2 linked regions of the Callithrix jacchus genome follow. The protein of the gene in region 2 purifies or fractionates together with the protein of the main gene of each other region. This does not show direct contact. Links are inferred from orthologs where the notes say so. Each region holds a gene or a part of one and is shown on either strand. Other genes may lie near its edges.

Region 1 (3,813 bases), on a different chromosome or scaffold from region 2:
GGGTATAGTGCCCAGTATTTCATGTATTCCCCTGGTTATTAAACAACAAACTTCTTTCCCATTTTAGCTAAGTATGTAGATTCAAAGCTTCGTGCGGGCAACAAAGAAGCTACAGATGAAGAACTTGAGAAAATGTTGGATAAAATTATGATCATATTTAGATTTATCTATGGTAAGTATTTACTAATGTTTTAATATTTTTCTTTTAAAATAGCACTCAACAGAGAAGCTAGCACGTATATTCAACCTGGAGGGAATATTTATTTGGGAATTACAGATTTAAAATTGTTTTTAATTCTTTGGGGGGATACTTGAGGAATGTTACCTAATTGTCCTATGCTTTGACTCTTCTAGTATGAAGTGCCTTAGTTTGTGCTACTTGGTTTAATCTCTCCAATATTTGCACCAAAGCTACCAGTCCACAAAAGCTTTTCTGAAGAAAAATTAATGCAATAAAGACAGTTAAATGCAAAAAAGTTTTACAATAAAAACTTTGAAATGTCTGACACTAAAATGCATCTTTACTGTTACTTGCATTTAACAAACTTAGATAAAATGTGTAAAGTAAAATAACTTGGAATAATGGTGTGATTTATTAAAGCACTTTGAAGCAGTTTTGTCAGAACTTTTTATTGAAATATTATAAATTTTGCATGTTTTTTACATAGGGAAGGATGTTTTTGAGGCCTTCTATAAGAAAGATTTAGCTAAGCGCCTGTTGGTTGGGAAGAGTGCATCTGTAGATGCTGAAAAATCAATGCTGTCCAAACTTAAACATGGTAGGTTTCTCATTCTTCCCATTCCTTTTCTTTGATTTTTGAAGGAGAATGTTACCCTTTTACTCTTTCAATTAGTTTCCTCTTGTGTCAATCATGTCTATGTATATATGATGAAAACATAAATTGAGCAAGCTCCTGAGGTTTCCAACTTACTGTACATATATCCAGAGCTGTCGTGTTTTTGAAGATAAAACCTTGTTCTTGGTTTTATTATTTGTATAAAAATTTCCCATTTATTTTATACCTAAATAGTAGATAAGGTTACTACAGGATTAAAGAGTTTGACTCTGAATTAATGGGGCATACACTTTGGGGTAAGGATTTCTTTTTATTCTTATGAATAGTTACAGATCATACTTCATACTAAAATAAGTTTTGTATTTCATGTTTACCATTTTAAACCTCTTTTGTTTTTACCATTTTAAAATATTATACATGTACAAACACCTTTAATAGAATGCGGAGCTGCTTTCACCAGCAAACTTGAAGGAATGTTTAAAGACATGGAACTTTCTAAAGACATCATGATTCAGTTCAAACAGGTAAAAGTGAGTTAAACTCTTACTTAGTTCCTCAAACTTAGTTATATTTAGTTATCTGCTCGCCGTGATTTCTACAGAAGAGGATAAATAGAAACATGTTTGTTGTAATTACTTCATGGCAACTGAGGTGATATTCACAGTAGAAAAAAATCATCAATGAAATAGAAGTATATTTGACCTACTTTAGGATTTATTTTTAACAAACACCCAGAATAACACAAAAATAAAAATAAAATGAGTTGAACTGAGGTCAGTACAAGAAAAGCTATAGGTAGATAGTGGGAACAGGGCTTTCCCCAGCATGTTACCATTTGGTGATTTGCATGTTCAGAGCTTGCAATGGGGAGAGGAGAAGTGATAATGTAGCTGTATAAAGTCTTTGGGGACATTGGGAATAGAAAGCTAGATCCACAGTTTTGAAGATGTAGGTAGAAAGTAGTTTTGAAATATTGAAGAACATAGGTGATAGTGATGGCAAATTAAATTTTCCTCTTTTGGGGTTTTAATAGTGACTTCTGTACCCCACAGTGTTGCTAAGTTGGAAAGTGGAAGTGAAAGTATTAAGAAAAAAATCAGGGCCAGTAAGATTATAGATCCTATAGTAGCTACAGAATAGGGCTTACCTGCTTTGCCCTTTTCCCCTCTTCTTCCTTCCCTACTCCAGGTCTCTCCCTGCAGACAGGCAGTGGAGCAAGCGAAAAACTGGAGACTTGGGCTGACTGGTGGGGTGAGGAATGGGGGTTGCTGCAAGGTGTTTAAGCCACACAGGGGTATTTAAAGGTGGGGACTGCAGGTGTTATTGGGGAAAATAATGGAGAAGAGATCCTATAACAGCCCAGCTGTATGTGAAAAATTATTTAAGTTGACTGCCTATAATGAGATAATGTGAGCCTTGTATGTCTTTGTATCAGTGTTAACCTCTATACTTGCCTAGTGCATTTTGTGTAGGCTTCATTTAAAGTCCTCTTAATAGTTGCGTTTTATTTTAAGGATGGCCATTATTTGCATGTAATTTCAAAACAAGGAACTTCTTAACTAGGTTATTATGATAGGAAATGTATACAGTTTTAACATCTCAGTGTGTGTGTTGATCTTCTTTTAGTATATGCAGAATCAGAATGTTCCGGGTAATATTGAGTTAACTGTGAATATCCTGACAATGGGCTATTGGCCAACATATGTGCCTATGGAAGTTCATTTACCACCAGAGGTAAGAGTTACTGTTCAGAACCTTAGTTATAGGCATAGAAGTCATAGCACTTCCATTTTGCTTATCATTTAAAAGTAGATATTTAGAAAAAATCAGAGATCCAGGGTCTCGTTGTATTGCTCAGGCTGGTGTTGAACTCCTGGGCTTAAGTTATCTCCCCTGCCTAGGCCTTTTAAAGTGCTGGGATTACAGGTATGAGCCACCAGGCCTGGCATAGATACTTTTTAAAAAGTGTATGTCAGTAAACACATCAGCACCAAATACCAACTGCTTTAATGTTTTACTTTTGTACTTCTAAGTCCAGTTAAGCACATAGCTGACAATACCAAATTTCTGAGTGCAGGGTCAGTTTCCCTGGCTCTTCTTCCATCTTTCCAGATTATATTCCTCATTCTACCTAGCTATTAAGAATTCTTGTGCATATTTCACCCATAGGTGGGATTGCTGAATGGTGGGTGCTTGATTAAATCTGTCCTGACTCCCAGGAAACTGTCTAGCCCAGGACTGAAGCCCATAAAAGGGATTAAGGCTAGACAGATAGATGTTGAGAATCCTCCATGGAGATGATTATGAAAGCCAGGGAGGAGATCTCTCTCAAAGAGGAAGAAAAAATGGCAGCGGCAGAATTTTTAAAAAGGCTCACATTTGGCAGATGGTAGAAAGAGGAACCTGTGAAGGAAACCAATGCAGAAGCAACAGTCAGATAAAGGAACCAGCATAGTGCAGAGGCACAAAATCTGCTGCAGGTGAATGTTTCAAAAAGGGATGATTAAACGGTAGAGAGAGAGCAAAGGGTATAAATCCTAATAAATCCCATTTGATTTGGTGGTTGGGAGATCATTATTTGTCATTAAAGTAATGGTGGACCTACTGGATATAGTCTTAAAATTTTCCAGAAATTATGTCACATGATATAAGTATAAAAGGTGATAAATGTGGTATTGGATACTGAGCTTAAGTAAAACCTTATTTTATTTACTTTATTTAGATGGTAAAACTTCAGGAGATTTTCAAGACATTTTACCTAGGCAAACATAGTGGCAGGAAACTTCAGTGGCAGTCAACCCTAGGACACTGTGTGCTAAAAGCAGAATTTAAAGAGGTAAGTAGATGTTCCCAAAGCTTTCAGTTTTCATCTTTATCTTTAATATTTAGGTCATCCTTCTTACCTGAAGGTTTAAGCTATTGTTTTATAAATGTATCCTAGATATCTATATGACAACAGTGATACCTTGTCACAGCTTTTATATATTTTTAAGTAATTTTAGGTGTGTGGTATTTC
Region 2 (4,331 bases):
GCTTGCAACCTCCATTTCCCTGGTTCAAGTGATTCTCCTGCCTCAGCCTCCACAGTAGCTGGGATTACAGGTGCATGCCACTACAACCAGCTAATTTTTGTATTTTTAGTAGAGACGGGATTTCACCATGTTTGTCAGGCTGGTCTTGAACTCCTGACCTCAGATGATCCACCACCTAGGCCTTCCAAAGTGCTGGGATTGTAGGTGTGAGCCACAGCTCCCAGCCTCTGGTAAGCTTTTCTAGGCTCCTCCCATTCGAAGTCACTCAGCACTGGAAACAAATTAAGTTGCCTAAATTGCCTCACTCATCAGGCTCAAGAACTTTTGTGGCTCCCTATTACTCTCAGAACACAGATTATCAGGATGGGTGTTTAGGAACACATCACCTAACCTTTCTGAGCCTCAGTTTCCTCATCCATGTTAAGAAGTGAGTCTTGATAGATAACTCAAAAGCTTGAGGATTAAAGATACCCTATGCCTTGCACCATACTTAATCTAAGTCCTCACTAAAAGTTAGTCCTCTTTCTGCCTGTCTCTATCTACACACCCAGCTCAATAAGGTACCTTAGCTTAAGAAGGAGAGATCAAGTAGTTACAGGATTTTTTTTTTTTTTTTTGAGACAGGGTCTCACTCCGTCAACTACTGCCTCCCAGGCTCAGGTAATCCTCCCACCTCAGCCTCCCATAGGCACGCATCACCAAACCCAGCTAATTTTTTGTAGAGACAGGATTTTGCCATGTTGCCCAGGATGGTCCAGAATTCCTGGACTCAAGCGATCTGCCTGCCTCAGACTCCCAAAGTGCTGGGATTACAGGATCTTAAGTCACGGAGAGAAGAACACAAAGGGGGAAAAAGGCTGCTAAAAAGGTTGTCTGATGCCCAGGAAAACATTTCTCACTCAGAACTGCGCCTTTCATCCACCATCCTCCATACACACAGACCACCTAGCCTTTATTTTATTCTATCCTTTTATCATTTGAGAAAGTGATATGCAAGTTAAATTTAAATACAAAGTTATACTGTGAAAAGTCTCACTCCCATTCTCTTTCCCTTTAGCCCAATTCCCACCTCACTCCCACCAACCACTTTATAGTTTCTTGAGTATCCTTCAAACTTCCTTGATGCAAAAGCTGTCTTTTAAATAAAGCTAATGTTTTACAGGTGTGTTAGCAAGGTTTGAGGTGGGGGAGGGTGAAAGAAGGAGGAGACTAGGTCTTACTAATTCTGCTTTACCCTAAAGCAGTGTCCTTCACTCACTCAAAAATAATAATCACCATATGTTGGGCACCTGTTATAAATCAGATACTTAATATTAACCAACCACTTTCAGCCAGAAATGCACTAATGCTTTACACAATTGCCCCCTTTGATCTCCACAACAATCTTAAAAGGTTGGTTACTAATTCTCATCTTCATCTTACAAGTGAGGAAACTAAGGCACAGAAAGGTAACCTGCCCAACCAAGAGAGAGGAGCAGGGCTTTGAACCCAGGCCTGACTCCAGAGTCCCTCTTAACCATGACGCTCTACATTGGCAAACCAGATCCAGTCTCTGCACCCGCTGGAAGTCAGCCTAATGTGGGAGACAGGCGAGAAAAAGGCAGACAACAAAGAAATATGAAATTATAGACTAAGAAAGTAACGTAAACGAAACCAATGCGCGGCTGTGACAGAATAACAACGGGGACCTACTTTAGAAAGGAGGAAGAGAGAGTGTCAAGGAAAGGCCTGAGAAAATGACATTTATGATAACGCTTGGGAACCGTCTGGGGGCTGCAATGATGACCCCCTCCCCCACGCCCAATACACGGGAGAAACTCGAGGCCCATAGAGACTAAAACAAACTCGCCAGGGTCTCCCAGACATGCAGACGTGGCGCAAGGGAGGGAGGATCCAGAAACCGGGCCCAGGGTTCGTACACGCCATCAGTGCCCACAGCAGCCCAGCCCCGCTCGGCTACTGACAAGGGACATCAAGCCAGCTGCTTTCCACGGCCCCGCTGCAGCTGAGAGCGTCCGGGCAGCTCACAGGGAGGCCTTGCGGCCAGCCAAGGGGGGTCTGGCCTGTCCAGCGGCGGCCTGGAAAGGCCTCTTTCCCGGTCCCTGGCCAGCTCCCGCCTGGTCCGCCCCGCCCCGCCCCTCCTGGGCCAGCCTCGTACCTGCACTGCCCGGACCAGACCCCGGCCGGTCAGCTGGCCCTGCCGCAGCTGCAACAGAATGTTCCCGGGCCGCGGCCGGCCGCCCCATCCGCCCCAAGCCGCTACTGTGGCTGCCGACCGTCTGCCTCGGCCGGCTCCGGACCCTGCCACTGCCGGCGCCGCCGCCATGTCTCCTCGTCCGACAAACAGGAAGCAAGCGGCCTCGGGGCCCAGGAGATTTCTACGGGGCGGCGGAGGGGTCGCCGCAGCGCCCCCAGCGGGCCGTCGGCGGAGGCGCAAGCCGCGTGGCACGAACAGTGCGCGTCGTGGGGGCTGCTGGGAAATGTAGTCCTGCGCGGCAGCGGGGCCGGTGGGAAAAAAGATAAGGTCTTTCCGGTACCTCCGGTTTCTCTGGCCCCCGGGCCCAGCATTCAGGCTGAATCTCCCGAGGTCTGAGATCAGTCCCTGCATGCGCACTCTCCCATTTCTCCCCTTCTGTTTGGGGAGGATGCAGGCAGCTGGCTAAGAAATGATCCTGGGCTTCAGGTCAGGAGTCAGGCCCTCGAATCTGATTCTGGCCTGCTTCTCTCTGCCTGTGACTCGCCGCGGACCTCGACCAAGTCATCGCACTCTGCTCCTGCCCCTCAGTGTCCTCATCAGGTCACTCCAGCTATAGGTCCTGGGATCCTGATCAGTCAATCAGTAGTTCCTGGGGCTTTCTTTGCACCCGACACTGAACCATGTCTGGGGAAAGGTGGGGTGTCTGGGATACAGCGGTGAGCAGAACGGCCTAGAACTCTTTATCACGAAATGCAGGTCACAGGGGAAAACAGCAGAAAGAAATGCACAGACTCAAACTGGATAAGTTGTGTAACTGGATAGGTTGTTGTGAAATTAAATGATGGAAGGCAAAGGGTTTAGTAAGTTGTGACATCACATTCTCTGTCAAAGGGAAACCCTGTCCTACTTTCTATCCACCAGATAGCCTGTTGTCTCTACCATGAGCCCACATATTCATTCTTTAAGCTAACTTCTGTGGCAAGATGGCTCTGACTCCTTGCACCCAATGCACACACAATTTTTCCCTTTCTAGCAAGGGGCTTGCCATAAAAATGAAAGAGGGCCAGGCGCGGTGGCTCACGCCTGTAATCCCAGCACTTTGGGAGGCCGAGGTGGGTGGATTGCCTGAGCTCAGGAGTTCGAGACCAGCCTGGGCAACAAGGGGAAATCCCGTCTCTACTAAAATACAAAAAATTAGCCTGGCGTGGCGGCGTGCACCTGTAGTCCCGGTTGCTCCGGAGGTTGAGGCAGGAGAATTGCAAGAATCCGGGAGGCAGAGGTTGCAGTGAGCCAACCACTGCACTCCAGACAGAGCGAGACTCCGTCTCAAATAAAAAAAAAAAAAAAGTGGGGGGGGGGAGCTAAGTGTGATGTAAGAGGGAATGGTGAAGATTGTGACTCAACTAAGATGGCTGTAAATAATTGCTCAGACCAAACACTTTAAAGAATGAAAAGACACAATAAATAATTACATCTGGACAGTAGGCATAAAAGGGACTCTCCCAGGTGAACTGGCACTCTGGTTACCATCCTCACGCCCCATCTAAAAGGAGTGGTCTCACCATCCTTCTTTATAGAACTAGAAAGAAAAAATTCTAAAATTCATATGGAACCAAAAAACAGCCTGCATAGCCAAAGCAAGAATAAGCAAAAAGAATAAATCTGAGGCCAAGCGCAGTGGCTTGTGCCTGTAATCCCAGCACTGGGAGGCTGAGGCAGGTGGATCATCTGAGGTTGGGAGTTTGAGACCAGCCTGACCAATATGGAGAAACCTCGTCTCTACTAAAAATACAAAAATTAGCCGGATGTGGTGGCACATGCCTGTAATCACAGCTACTTGGGAGGCTGAGGCAGGAGAATCGCTTGAACCCAGGAGGGTTGCCATGAGCCGAGATCGCGCCATTGCACTCCACCCTGGGCAGCAAGAGCAAAACTCTGTCTCAATAAATAAATAAATAAATAAATAAGAATAAATCTGGAGGCATCACATTACCTGACTTCAAACTATACTATAAGGCCATAGTCACCCAAACAACATGGTACTGGTATAAAAATAGGCACATAGATTAATGGAACAAAATAGAGAACACAGAAATAAAGCCAAATACTTTTAGCCAACTGATCTTCCACAAAG

Evidence for each region.
Region 1: the proteins of TRPC4AP (region 2) and CUL4B purify together in Homo sapiens (affinity purification with mass spectrometry; 4 studies listed by BioGRID and IntAct, counting the BioPlex papers as one, with this or other methods). This does not show direct contact. The link is inferred for Callithrix jacchus from reciprocal best matches to the Homo sapiens genes TRPC4AP and CUL4B.

The regions. Positions count from the first base shown.
Region 1 is NC_133524.1:116,417,025-116,420,837, reverse strand, and holds part of CUL4B (cullin-4B), read left to right. Parts: intron 1-67; coding exon 68-172; intron 173-668; coding exon 669-779; intron 780-1,235; coding exon 1,236-1,321; coding exon of another isoform or gene 1,322-1,327; intron 1,328-1,985; coding exon 1,986-2,048; intron 2,049-2,423; coding exon 2,424-2,531; intron 2,532-3,519; coding exon 3,520-3,633; intron 3,634-3,813.
Region 2 is NC_133506.1:4,219,955-4,224,285, reverse strand, and holds the start of TRPC4AP (short transient receptor potential channel 4-associated protein), read right to left. Parts: upstream 2,952-4,331; 5' UTR 2,609-2,951; coding exon 2,159-2,608; intron 1-2,158. UniProt on the Homo sapiens protein: Substrate-recognition component of a DCX (DDB1-CUL4-X-box) E3 ubiquitin-protein ligase complex required for cell cycle control.